Notamacropus eugenii: one gene and its partner. The protein of the gene in region 1 purifies or fractionates together with the protein of each later gene. This does not show direct contact. Links are inferred from orthologs where the notes say so. Each region holds a gene or a part of one and is shown in the gene's direction. Other genes may lie near its edges.

Region 1 (7,646 bases):
TAAGAAGGCTAGGAACTGAGGATTTGCCGATTAAGAGATCACTGGTAACCTTGAAGCAGGTGAGTGAGAAAAAGGGAAGCCAGAATGCAAAGGGTTCAGAAGCAGGTAGGAAATGAAAAGATGGAGGAAAAGTCCATCAGTTAACATGTAGTGGCATCTACAGCCTGCCAGGTATTGTGCTACATGCTGGGGACATGAAGAAAGACCCCCCCAAAAAAAAATCCAGCCTCTACCCTCAAGGAGCACCCAGTCTAATGGGGGAGACAACATATAAGGAGCTACAGTACATCCGAACCAGACAAATACAGGATAAATGGGGGGAGTCTGAAAGGGAAAGCACGCAGATTAAGGAGGACTGGGAAGAACTTCAGCAGAAAGTAGGACTTTAGCTGAGATCTGAAGGAAGTCAAGTGGAGAGGAGAAAGAGAAACTTACAAGGCATGGAAAACAGCTAGGAGGCTGAGTATGGACTGCCTTTTTTAGGAGCCGGCTGGGAGAGAGATAGAATGATAGTTTAAAGGGATAGTAAGATTAAGTAAAAGGTTATTTTTTAATAATAAATTTTTTTTTCGATGAGCAAAACCCTACCTCTCCTTCCCTTCTTCCCCTCCCCAACGAAAAAGAAGGAAAAATAAAATCCTTGTGACAAATTTGCATAGTGAAACAAAACAAATCTCTGTGTTGGCTATGTCCAAAAAAATCTGTCTCACCCTGTCCCCTAAGTCCGTCACCTGTGTGTCTGGAACTGGGTAACATGCTATATCACCTATCCTCTGGAATTGTGTGGTTTGGTCGTACTGACCAGGGTTCTGGAGTCATTCACAGCAGTTTGCCTTTACAATTCAATTGTTACTAAGTGAAGGGTTTGGAGATTTTGGTTTGGGTTTTTTTGTTTGTTTGTTTTTAAGAAAGGGGATCATCTAGGCATATTTCATAGGGAAGGAACCAGTGGATAAGGAGAATTCAAAAATGAAGGCATGACCAAAAGGGCCATCTCTGAGGAGAAGGGGAATGTAATGGAATCCAGGGGATAAGCAGAAAGGGGACAGTGTGTTGAGTGTGGGGATGTGTTCTCCCTTGTTACACACATGCATTACATATAAAAGCACACAGTCTTTTCAAGAGAAAATGAACAGAAACATGTCAGACCCCATGTGGGTGCAGTGAGGTATTTTGCCATAAGGTTAGCCTCTGCTGCCATTAGAAAGGAAAGAGGTACTGAGAGCTGGAAGAGAAAGAAGTAGTTAGAGCCTAAAAGAAACGCATCTTTAACACCTTCTCTTTGCTATTCCTGAGAGTGAGCAAAGCTTTGCAGCTTTGTCAACAAGCACCAGGTAGTATAGTGTAGTGGATGGGGGGGGGGGTAAGAAGGTGTCAAGAAAACCAGGTTTCAAGACCAAATGTGTCACTGGAGGGCAAGTCTCAGCCTCTCAGTGTCCCCAGCAGCCCCCTAACACCAGCAATGGCTGAGCAGGTGCCTGTCACTGCCCTCATCACTGCTCCCAAACTGACTTTCTCACACATGCTCCATCTCCTATTGTAATCCCTGGCTTTCCTCAAGACTGGGTTCAAGTGAGGCCTTCCCCTCTGAGATCACCTGCCATCTGCCCCATATGTACCTCAGTATGTGTGTTTTGTGTGCCCCATTAGAATATACACTTCTGGAAAACGAGGACTGTCCATGGTGTTTCTTCACATCCTCAGCTTATCACAGGGTCTGGCACAGAGTAATCACTTAAATGCTTGCTGATTCATTGATAAGTGTTTTTTATACCAATGACATTGCAAGCCTGCCATCCCAAACGTTTGAGGTTCTGTCCCTAGAACTGGGCATAACATAGCTCAAAGCCCCATATTCTCTGCCCTCCAGGAGCTTTGCCATTCTAATGGAGCTGCGTCTGGAGGAGTTTCTGTTCTGCTACCTCACAGTGCTTGGTGCTTTTAGATTTGCCAAGCATTTTACTGACATCATCTCATTTGAATGGCACAATGATCCTGGGAGGTAAGTGCTATGATTATCCCTTTTTTACAGATTCAGAAACTGAGGCTCAGCAAGGAGGGAGAGTTTGGGGTCTTTGCCTTCACCTCCTCTATTTGCTTTGGTCCTCCTCCTTCTGTAAGGGCCTAGTAGTCAGTCCCTGGGCCCCGCCCCAGCCCCCCCCCCCCTTGTCCTCTTTTCCATTATCTCCTCAGTAATTTCCTGTTCCTCCTACTCCCCTAGCCCTTTTACAATTAATTCAACCACCTTAGGTTTTCCCCCTCCCACCCTACTGTCCTTCCTGCCGGAAAGATCAACTTTGGCCCACTGAGTGAACCTGCTGGGCGATTTAAGGGGTTGGGGCCACTTTAATGGGTCCCACTATTTACTTTTATGGGCCAAGGTGCTAGGTGCCCTTCCTAGTCACCTTTCTTTTACCTAACACACAGGGAATGGTTTCTTGACCTGGGTGCTGCCTGCCCCTACCCTCCCCGACTCTAGCTTGTGCTGTGGTTGTTTGACCTAGTTGTCAGCTGAACCACACTGGTAAGCTGCTTCTCCCCCTTGCTGGAGCAGGCAATGGGTAGCCTCAGCCTGACCCTAATCCTGAGATTGCCAATTCTGACCCCCTTCCCAAACTCATTCTAGTAGGTCCTTTTGGCCCTTCTTCACCTAGCTTTTCCCTCCCTTGTGACTTGCTCTGGATCCAAAAGGGTTGGAGGGGAGAGGAGACCACACCCCAAAATGGTGGGACCCTGTCCCCTAGGAGCTGATGAACAGCACAGACCATGAGGCTTTGAGGCTGAAGTGAAGTGGATATCTTTCTGGAAGAGTCTATAAGAGGAGAGGATGGGGGACAGGGTGGGTAGCTAGGAACCAGGTGAGAATGACTGTTTATGTGGGGACAAAGACTGAATGGCGTAGCCAAAGCAGAGGATACACCCTCTCCATTTACAAATGGGCAAATTAGAGCTGAATTGACCAAGGTCACATGGCTAGTAAGAGCCAGAGCTAGGTCACATCTAGATTTTCTGACTCCAGGTCCAACATTCAGCACAGGTTAAGGATGGAAACGTACATTTGGACCAGATAGTGGAGAGCCTTGAGTTGCCACTGAAGTTAGATGACTTGAATATTTTTATTTTTTTGAAAGTTAGGATTAAATGTTCTCCCTCTCGCCTTACCCCAGCATAAAATGCTTTTGGAATCCAGTAAATTGTTTCCCCTGTTGACCGAAAGATTTCTGAGAGAAATGGAGGGGGGAAAGGAATTCTCTCACTTGTCTCTAACAGCAGCCCCCTCCCTACAACATACCCAACAGGGCCTGGATCCTAGTGGATTAGGGAATGTCACTTGATGGGGGCAGATACCAAGCTCCTCTACCCTCAGGCTAAGCCCTTAGGGCTGATGGGATGGTGAGAGATCCCCTTACAATTCCAGGCCTTCTCTCACCTTAGATTTGGGGTCTCCCAAACTTCCCTATCTCACTTGTTTTACAAATGAAAGAAACAAAGACAGGGGAAATAAAACACCAGGTGGAATTTTTGAACCTGGACCCTTTGACTTTAAAAAGTCTGTGCTCTTTTTACTGAACATCTCAAGGCTTCAGACCCATTCATACAGAGATAACAATGTACATCGTCTCATATTCAATGCATGGTAGTGATTGGCCTCTGCTACCTGTGGCCAGGTCCTGTGTGGTCCCAGCATCCTACATCAGCAGAGTTGGGAGCACATAGTTCCAAAATGTCATAAATATAAAAGGCACAGGAAACAGCTCCAGGTGTTCTTAAATTGGAGTCTATGAGTTAACTAGGTGAGTTTATTTTTTTTTTAATATACTGATGATTGCATTTCAGTATAATCAGGTTCCTTTGTAATTCCTATGGATTTTATTTTATGCAATTTAAGAATAGGATTCTAAGAAGGGGTCTATGTTTAAGAGTCTGTGATCTAACCTAATCCTCTTATTTTTAAAGAATGATGCAAAGCTCCCCCCTCCCACTGCCTCTCCATTGAATAAAAAAAATAAAAAACATCATAAATATGTGTGTTCCAGTAGAAGTAATTCCCACATTGGCCATGCCCCGAAATGCTGCTCTGCGTTTCAAGATCATCACCTCTCTGGCGGGTGGGTGACTGATGCCAACTCTCTCATTTTACAGAAACAGAACTGAGGCCAGAGAGGCAAGGGACTTGCCCAAGACCACACAGCAAGTTAGTCGCAGAGCCAGACCCTAGAGGCCAACTCTGGCTAGTTCACTTTCCACTGGCCCATGCAATCGTGCCCTCCTCCTGGCGGCATTAGATGGCAAGCAGGATTCCCCTAGGCTGACCCGCCTCAGCCATTGGCCGGGATGCCTGAGGCCGGAAGGCGGCTGGAAGACTTCCAACCTTTCCGGGCTCCAAAGGAGGGGGAAGAGAGGGAAGGGGGAGGAGTGGAGGAAGAGAAAAAGGGCAGGCATTTTCCCCAGGCCACGCCCAGCAGACGTCCCCACCGTTCGCCCCGCCCCCCAGCCTCGCCCGACGTGGCGGCCCCAGAGGAAGGCGGGAGCGAGAGGGGGCAGCCTTTTCCTCCTCCTCTCCTCATCCCCGCCCCCGCCAGCATCAGGACGTTTAAAGGGATCCATTTAAAGGGGAAGTGACTCATTTTTCATAGGCTCGCCTGGCCCGGCCTGGTTCTGGAGCCCCGGGGCTCGCTCGCTTGTTGGCCAGCCTTCGCCTTCGTCTTGGCCTTGGCCTTGGCCTCGGCGTCGGCGGGCTAGGAGGCGCCGGCCGCGCGGGAGGATCATGGCCGAGGGGGCGGGCCCGAGGAGATCTGGGGATTCCGTTTCCCAGCGTTTCGTATACGAGGTGCCGGCCTGGATCATGTGTCGCTTCTACCAAGTGATGGATTCCCTGGAGTCGACCGACTGGTACAAGTTCGGTGAGGAGGCGGGGGAAGGGGGCATGGCCAGGGAGTCGCGCTGGGGCCGCGGGCCAGCCCGAAGGAGAGGGGAAGTGGCCCCGGGCGGGAAGCTGGGGCCCCCCTCCCCCAGCCCAGCCCTGGGCACCGGGATAGGAAAGGGCCCGAAGGCTGAGAATGGCCCGTGCGCTCCGGGGAACCCCTTCCATCTGCTTCCGCCCCTGGTCGTCAACCTTGGGGCTGCCGCTCCCCCCCGTTAGCCACCTTCCTTTCTGTCCCAGGCCACCCGTGCCCTCTGTGTGATCGGCGTACCAGGGAGACGAGATAGGGAGAATCATGAGACACCTCAAGAGCGTAGGATAGAGGGTTGACCCCACTGTCTCTCCTGACACTACCCCCACTCCAGATGCAGGCCCTCTTTCCCTCACTCCTGGACTATTGTAATAACTGCTGGGGAGGCAGGGGAGTAGAGGGGCAAGGGGATCTGCCTGCCTCAAGCCTGTCCCCACCTCAGTCCACCATCCATTCAGGCACCAAAGTGATTTTCCTATAAAGTTCAGGTCTTATTATGTCACACACACACACACACATTTCCACCCCCCACTCCCTGAAATAAACTCCAGGGGCTCCCAATTGTCCCCAGCAACAAATACAAAATGAGGAAACTGAGTCTGAGAGGCATTAAGTGACTTGCCTAAGGTCTTACAACTACTAAGTGTGTGAATTCCATCAGGTCTTCCAGACCCCAAGTCCAGCACCCTATCCAATACTCCATCATTTTTCTTAGAGATCATCTAATCTAAGCCTCTCACCTGACAGCGGGGGAAACTGAGACCTAGAGAGGTAACCCAGAAGGGGCCACTTTCCCAGAGGGACAGGTAGGAAAGCAATTCAAGCTCAGGACCTCTAGAGATTGGCTGCCCAGAGGCTACCACTTTCTTGTTGGTAAATTCATGAACCCTAAACTTAATAACTGTAGGTCCTTGCAGAAAAAGGAAAGCTTCCCTTTGCCCTCCCCCATCTATTCCCCCACTCTAAACTAGGACCGTGCAAGAGGGTTTGTATAGTCCAAAAGGACAATATCAGGCTCTTCTCTTGCCCCCACCCCAACACCTTGCCACCAAGAGTGAGGTCAAGAGGAAAAAGGGCCAATATTCAATGTGAGGAGAGTAAAGATAGCCAGAAACTGAGAGGGAGATGGCAAGAAGGCAGAAAAGAACCTACTGGGGAAGCAATCAGGCCAAGGAAGCCACTTTGGCCTATTCTCCCTCCCACCAACCAATTTGTTCCCAGAAGCTTTTCAAATTCTTTCTTGCAGGTGATTTGGGGCTATGGGAACAAATGGGATTGAGAACTGAAAGAGACTAGTGATTATTTAGTCCAGCTCCCTCATTTTTCAATGAGGAAACTGAGGCTCAGAAAAGGTGAAGTGACTTGCCCGTGGTCACACAGTGAAGTTAGTGGCAGAGCCAGTATTAGAACTCCAGTCCTGTGACTCAAAACTCAGGGTTCCTTGTCCATGGGCAGATGCAAGGTGTGAGTGACTTAGGACAGGGCCAGCACTGGCTTCATGCCACAGCAGGGATTGTGGTCAGAGCGAGGGCTGGGGAAGGCCTGGTGGGATGTCACCAAAGCCAACAGCCAAGCCCCAACCTGCTTCTGTCCTTGACAAGATGGCCCAAGGACAGCTTTGACTAGACTGTGTGGAGGTGACCCGTTTTCTTGCTTGTCAGCATCCCTCATTGTTCAGGACCAGACAGAACTACGGCTGGGGGAGCGTTTTCATGATCGAACAGCCAGGATCATGTGGCCTTGGATTAACAAAAACGCACGGGTTGCTGACCTCCTTCATATCCTCACTCACCTACAACTGCTTCGAGCCCGAGACATCATCACCAGTTGTGAGCCTTCCCTTCAAACCCTAATCCCCCAATCTCCCCACATACATATACCCAACCCCACGTCTACTTGTAAGTGTCATCTGTCAGTGCCCAAACAAAACCCCTCCCTTCCTTCAAGTCCCCAGCTATCCCCTAGAGCTCCCCCTGTCCTAGGGGAACTTGAGGAAGAATAGTTGGATTGGGGAGGCTTCAGCAACAAAGAAGGCTGAGTTTCAATTCAAAGAACTAACCCCAGTCCTGGGCCCTAAAGTCCAAGGGACTTTCCCCCTGCCTCCCACACCCCAACCAGGCCCCAGCTGGGCTCCTAGAAATAGCATCCACCCCCCGGAGAGAGGATTTCCCTCACCCCACCCTTGTAAAGGGAGGCAGGTCTGTGTCTTTCCCCTTGGCCCCAAGAAGGTGATGGAGTGCAGGAGGAAAGCATGTTATCTCCCCCACATACCCCATATCATTCCCTGCTATCATTCTTGCTTTTTTAACAGTATCTTTGTGTCTTTTCCTTCCTTCCCTATACTTTTAGGGAATCCTGAACCCCCATCATTGCCCCCTGCTGCCTCATTAATGTGCACACCCACCCCTCCATGGCCCCCTCCTCACCCAAAGCCCACTAGCGTCCATAAGGAAGAGGGAGTCAGACCTCCCAAGGTGCCACAGTCTGCCTCGACCTTCCTTTCCCCAGGTAATGGGGCACTGTATTTGGGGAGGGGGAATCCAGAGTTTCTTGAAGGAAAGGGGTGAAACATTGACCCCCCCTTAATACCTCCTGGGCCAGCTGTCGTGGACAGGTGGGGAGGGGTCTCAAATCATGAGCTTAGGGTGAAGCCTCCTTCTGAAAAAGGAAAGGAGGGGTCCTTTCGGAGCC
Region 2 (7,005 bases), on another chromosome or scaffold:
TGAAATTCTCCTAGGGAAATGAGTACGAGGAGAAGAAAACTTGCCCACTGTTAGGGGGCTATATGAAAAAGATCCAGGAAAGGAATCAAGATGGGTGGCCAGAGAGATAGGAAAAAAAATCAAAATAATGCATTGTCCCAGAGGTCAAGACAGAGGAGAATTTCAGGGAGAAAAAGGTAGTCAGTGATTCAGATTTTATAGTAAAGAGACTGAAGACTGGAAACTCCATCAGATTTTGCAATTCTATCATTTTCTTAATTGAAAAAAAAACTTTTTTTTCCTCACAGGGTTTTTGTTGTTCTCTACTATTTAAGACCCAAGGTGAAATCAACAAGCATTATTAAGTGCCAACTATGTGCTCAATGCTGGTGATTTTTTTAAAAGGCAAAGAATTTATTATCTAATGGAGTCAACAGGTAAACAACTATGGACAAAGAAGTGATAATGTTTAATATAAAATTTTGGAATAATCTCTTTGTTCTCTCTGAAGCAAACTCAGAGAATGCCTCTTCCTATGTCAGCAAAAGCCAGCCAAAGCTGACTCTGCATTCCTTGGAGACCTTTAACCTATGACATATCTTGAATAATGGGTCTTTCCTTTGTATCTTATTATCTATAGACACATACTATGTTATGACATATCTTGAATAATGGTAAAGAAAATATAGACATCTTAGGTCACAATTTCTATTGAACATTGTTTGCCCCTTCCTGTGTCAGTTATCTGTGGTGGGATTTCCTTCCTTGTCACCGAGACATATGTTTACCCAGCTTGGAATCTCAACATTTGATTGACATTACTTTGTTAATTGTCTTGTCTTACTAAATTTATGATTTGTTCAACTAGGAGAGTTCCTTTCTCATGGCAAAATGTATATAAGCCAGAAGATTTCTGCACTGGGTAGCCAGAACATTTCTGGCTCCATAATGCATTATGTAACTGTTTTCTTTAATAGGGAATTGACCAATTAATTAATTAAATCATAAAATGTATGCAATTAGCCTGTTGCCTTTCTTAACCAAGTTTTCAGGTCAACAGAAGAAAGGTACAAACTGGAGATAATCTCTAAGAGAAGGCACTAGCATTGAAAAGGGTGGGGAAAAGCTTCTTGCAAAGGTGTCATTTTAGTTGAGACCTTTAAAGAAAGTCAGAGAAGCCTGGAGAAGGAAGAGGAAATAAGGAAAGAGGGAATTCTGGGCATAGGGAAAATGCAAGTGAAAAGGCACAGAATCGGGTATGGAGCATCTTGTGAGAGAAAAAGTAGGGAGACCAGTTTTCAATTGGGAAGGGGGGGCAGTATCAGGGAGGAAAGGAAGGAGGCAGGGAAGAAGAAGGGAAGGGAAAGAGAGAAGAGAAGGAGGAGGGAGGGATTGGGAGAGAGAGAGAGAGAGAGAGAGGGAAAGGGAGAGAAGGGAGAGGGAGAGGGAGGGGGTAGAGATTCAGGATTGTTTTTAAGAGCACAGAACAACAACAATAAAAGATATCCAGGTTCTAATCCCTTCCCCAAAAGAAAAACCCAACATATCAAGAAACTACTACACATGTATAACTATTTACTAAATAATTGTCAACAGTTTTGTCTACAGTATGCTTTTGCTATGTAATGTGACAGGCCTACTTACATTCCAAGGCCTGGCTGACCTTGTTCACCTCTTGAAGTAATGGTTTCTTTGGGGGATTTATCCACTTTGTAGGGAAAACAATTTCCGAATCCATGGGAAGAAGAAAACAGTGTGTTTTTTTTATTTAAAGATTTATGCTTATAGCCTGCCAAAGGGCAAAGAGCTCCTATAGAAGAAGGAAAGTAAGCATTTTTCAAACATTACTGAAACCAGAACTCCTGCCCGAAAGAGTCAGCAATAGGAGCCCAGGAACAGTGACCAACATTTCCTGAAGCCAACAGGTCCTTGACTCAGGAACTGTTGGCAAATAAATTGAGCCACATTCTTTTGGTAAGAATTTCTCCACCTCACATTCAAATTTCTTAACAAACACCACCACAAAGCTAAACTTCTAGAGGAAAGGAACTGTGTACTTTAAAAATGAAAGTTTGTGTGTGTTTTTTTTTAAAGTGGGTGCTGATGTAATCCTTTTTGGTGTTGAAATCAAATTTTTTCAAACAAGATTTGATTTTTAAAATGTGTGTATAAGTATATATCTACATCTGTGTATGTGTGTGTGTACATACACACATAAATATACATATAATTGCTTATCCCTTCTTTCCTTTGATTCCTCCCTTGTCAGTCAGTCAGTAAACCTTTATTAAGGACCTACTATGCGCCAACCACTGTGCTAAGAGCCTTGAAGCAATGAAAAGCCAATTGACAAACGAAACCAATCTATCAGTTCAGAAGATACAATATTCTCTAGACCTGAAGGACAATGTGGTTCAGTGGGCAAAATACTGACTCTCTAGCCTAAGGACCTCAATTTACATCCCAGCTTGGCTATTTACTATCTTTGTAACCTTGGGCAAATTACTGCAATTTTCTTGGCTCAGTTTCCTCCTCAGTAAAATGAGTAAGCTAGATCAAAATTACCTCTAAGCTAGCTCTGTAGCAATGAAGCTTTAATCATAGGTCAGCTGTCTATTAGTGTTATCATGTACATTACTGCACTCATTGTGTCTAGTGTTCTGGGTCTACTTTCTTCACTTTACACCAGTTCATACAAGTCTTCCTATGTTTCTCTTAATTCCTCATGTTTTTCATTTCTTACTGAATTTGAATCCACTACATTCACATACCACAGTACGTAGAACTAACCATTCCCCAATTGATGGGCATCACTTTGTTTCAAGTTTTTTTGTTTTGTTTTGTTTTTGCTACCACAGTAAGGGCTGCTATGAATATATCAAGGATTTTTCTCTCTGTCTTTGTTATCCTTAGAATAAGTACTCCTTAGTGGTATCACACTTCCTCCGCCTCCTCGAATATTTCTAGAATGGTTGGACCAATTCACAACTCCACCAACAATGTATTAATAATCTGTCTTCTTACTTTCCCTGCTAACATTCTAATTTATCTTTAACATTTTAGTGGAATTGAGGTGAAACCTCAGAATGATTTTCCGTATTGGTGATTTGGAGCATTTTTATATGATTGTTATTCATCTGCATTTTTTGTTTTGGAGGCAATCAGGGTTAAATGACTTGCCCAGGGTCACATAGCCATTAAGTGTGGAGTGTTGGAGTGCTGCATTTGAACTGGGATTCTCCTGACTCCAGGGCCGGTCTTCTATCCATTGCACCACCTAGCTGCCCCAGTCATCTGTATTTCTTCTGCAAAATGTTCATATCAATTTGTTTGATCACTAATCTACATGAAAATTTAGATTAACTAAATTTTGGGAGGGAAGGGCAAAATAAGTAGAGAAGTATAATGAAAAGTTACTAAATAATGCAAAGAGGATGAGAGGATTATAAGATTTAGAGCCAGGAGGGACCCAATCCATTGCTGAATAGTTCTGAATTATTTTTTTGCCAGACATCATTCCAAAAAAAGGATTCAAACCCATCTCCTCAGAACTGAGGTAATTATACCTGGGGGTGGGGGTGGGGGGGTTGTGATTGCGCGAGGGTAGGGGCTGGACCTGGTTAATTTCTTGTGGTCCCTTCCAGCACTGGGATCTGCTAAGATCTGTGATTCTTCATAAATTCAGAGCATATGGCCAATGCCATCTGTCTGGTGGTCAAGTCTAATCAAATCTAAACCCCACTCTCCAATTATGTTTTGGGTCCAGTTTTAGTTCTTTTTCTGTCCGCGCCCCACCACAACACAAAATCTCCAGAATTCCCAACTCAGGCTGGAGATGAATGAAAGACGGGAGGGAAGTTTGGTTCCGTCCTCAGAAGTTCAGAGGTCGGGCGAGTTTCTCCAGCTGGGAATCTCTGCTCAGATGGAGCAATAACTCCAGTTTGCGTCATGGAGCGGACGTCGGTCCAGCTTCTGGCCTTGGCAAAGGTACCTCGCTGTTCCGACGGGAGTGATGGCCACAAGGAGGATTTCCGCAGTTGTGAAAGAGAACGCCTAGAGAGAGGGGTGGAGGAAACCCTTGCCTCTCCACCCTTGTTTCCCCTAGTCAGCCAAGCACCAGCAGGCAGCGGTGAGCAGGCGCTGGGGAGAGATGGCTTGGGCTCCCGCGGACGGGAGGAGAAGGCGCTGGGAGCCCGCAGCCTTCCCCGCCAGCCTGCCCCTGTTCGATCTGCCTCCTTCGCTCCTGGGCAGCTTCTGCTCTATCCTGGACTCCTGCGATGGAGCGCTGGGCTGGCGGGGACTCGGTAAGTGAGGGACCTGGGGCCCGCGGGCGCAGGCAGCTAGAAAGCAATTGGGGAAGTAGGGGGATTGGCCGAGGCTGAGATCTCTCTCGCGTCCGCGCGGTGGGGCTCGGAGAGGGGGCAGGTGAGGCGAGGCGGAATTCCGTTTCATTTATACCCAAATCGCCTCCCATTCTTGCCTTTTGAAAGAACTTTAACTACTCCCTAGGAGAGCTGCTCATCCCTTTATCATGGGTCAGAATAACCTTGGGATGTCTCTGGGAACTAAGTGGGCAGAAGGCACGCTTTTTTTAAAACTCTCTTGCCTTGCCCTATCCCGGCAAAATAAGTAAGTGATATTTTAAATCGGAAGGAACAATTTCCTCAAAACATTATTTTCATTTTTTTCTCCATTATGTGCACTCTTATTTGCAGGAGTTTCACAGACTTTTATGGTTTCTTCCACTCATTTTAATTCTTCCTTGCAACATGACTTAAGGTGAAAATGTATTTAATAGGAATGTATGTGTTGAACCTATATAAGATTGTACACCGTCTCAGGGAAGGAATGAGGAGGAAGGGTGGAAGAAGGAGGAGGGAGGGAAAAAAATCTAAGATATATGGAAGTGATTGTAGAACACTGAAAACAAATAATATAATTTAATTAATAAAAGGATACAATTCACTAAAGTAAAACAAAAACAGAAAAAAAGGTTTACAGATAATACTAATTTGCTTTCTTCTTCCCAAATTCCTTTACCCTTTTAAAGTTTCCAGTGCTACCTAACTCTTACAAGTTAAATTCCCTTTGGCAAGTTTAAAATGTTTAAACTTTATAATTGTACATTTGCTTACATAATTTTATATGTACATATAATTATGTATTTTATAATATGCTTATAATTGTAAGTACGTAGGCTTTCAACGTTTCTTAAATGTATTTCTTTCAGCTACTAAGTGCTCAATTCACCTTGTTATAGTGAAAAGAGCACTATCCAGGGGGACATAAGATCAAAGTCCCATTCTGCTACTTACTTACTTGTGTGACAGTGGTCAAATCATTAAAACTCTCTAGGCCTTAGTTTCTCCATCTGAAAGATGAAGAAATTAGGCTCCATGGCCTTTAGGATGTCTTCCACCCTGGCATCCATGATCCCAGGATAGAATGAAAGTTTCAGTTCATGGAAAGACTTTTAACTTTTCAATCTTATTAATTCATCTTTTTACCCTTTGCTTTAAAGAAAATGTGGAAAGTTGATTACCTGAATGTGTAGATTAGTCAATGTGGATAATATGGGTAAAAAAATTTTTTTCCCTTTAATAGTATTTTTTTGGCTCCATAGTTGTTTCTGCTTTGCATAGACAGTCATTGTATCCCCAGTTAATTAGTTAAAAGTAAATATATGTGTAGATATATGTATATATTTGATTTATCTGAAATAATACAAAATAAATTTATATACAGATGGATATGAGTCATAGGGAGAAGTTGCCTACTCGGTGAAGAGAGGTATAAATTCTGGGTCTCCTAGTAAAAATCTCAGACAAGGATCTTTTGTTAGTTACGAAGTGGGCAGATTTCTAGTGAAAATGGGGACTTTTCTTTCCCTTCCTGGTCTACCATCTCCTTCCTATAGTGTACAGTAGCTTAGACAATATTTCTACCTAAGGATTTCAATAGTAATACTTCAAAGGATCTGTGTTTTCGTCTGTAATGGGAATGACACTATAAATACAGGTTGAAGCCAGCCCCTTCCACACCTTAACAGGTTATCTTTGTGAGTTGATGCATCCAAATATTTTTTGTTTGTTGTTAACTAAACATCTGATAATAAGTATCTCTGAAATTAGCCAGGCTAGTTCTCAGATAACAGGCATCCTGGCTTTTATTCAAAACTTATATTTCCCTTATATAGCCTTCCAGAACCTAGGATCACCACTATGCCATCATGAGTTATTGAAGTAGAAATTTTGTAGGGATCTACTTGAGCCAGCTTGTATCAGTTCTTAAGAGCTGGTAGTAAAATTTTCAGCATAAACTTTTAAACCTCAGAAATCAGTATACCTATAAATCAGGGCTTGATTTATTGTTTCATTGTCTAATCTTAAGAAAATAATGGAGAAAATGTTAAAAATGCTGATTAAATTTGAAAGTGTCATGCATGTATTTCTGTCCACCCCCACCCCCCGGGAGAGCCAGTTGTTAAATATTTACCAGTACATCTTTGGACTTTGTGAAGCAAAGGAAATCACAGGGTTTGAGAGCTACAAGGGACTGTAAAGATTGAGTTGTTTAGCTTACCCAATGGTTAGTTAGTTGGTGACAAACTTTAGACTTCTTTATTCTTTGTCCTGTGTTCTCTACTCTACCCCACTCATTATTCTACCTTTTTTGGATATAATCATCCTTTATCTCAATGAGTAGTTTAATAAGCAGCAGTTTTTTCTGTAACCCTTCCATATACTCTTGAGGGCTGGGTCCCCAAGAGAGTAACTATCCTCAAGGTATTCTGTGGATCTTTACTCTTAAAACCCATTGCTTATGAGCCCCCACCAGTGCACTTACATCTGATAGAGAACCAGTAGCTCAAAGCAAAAGCATTCACTGAGATGGCATCAGAAGAGCAATAACAATAAAATATTCTTCTATAAACCTGGAGTACACTCTCCCATAACTGCACATGGAGTCAGCACAAAGAACAGGGTTAATGAAGAGACACACACAGGAAACACAAGTAGCCGAGGC

What was found. Proteins that work in one complex are often made in the same cells at the same time.
Region 2: the proteins of IRAK1 (region 1) and IRAK3 purify together in Homo sapiens (co-immunoprecipitation; 3 studies listed by BioGRID and IntAct, with this or other methods). This does not show direct contact. The link is inferred for Notamacropus eugenii from reciprocal best matches to the Homo sapiens genes IRAK1 and IRAK3.

What each region holds. Positions count from the first base shown.
Region 1 is NC_092879.1:22,992,626-23,000,271, reverse strand, and holds the start of IRAK1 (interleukin-1 receptor-associated kinase 1), read left to right. Parts: upstream 1-4,624; 5' UTR 4,625-4,768; coding exon 4,769-4,904; intron 4,905-6,616; coding exon 6,617-6,784; intron 6,785-7,304; coding exon 7,305-7,463; intron 7,464-7,646.
Region 2 is NC_092874.1:243,146,184-243,153,188, forward strand, and holds the start of IRAK3 (interleukin-1 receptor-associated kinase 3), read left to right. Parts: upstream 1-3,984; 5' UTR 3,985-4,129; coding exon 4,130-4,283; intron 4,284-7,005. UniProt on the Homo sapiens protein: Putative inactive protein kinase which regulates signaling downstream of immune receptors including IL1R and Toll-like receptors.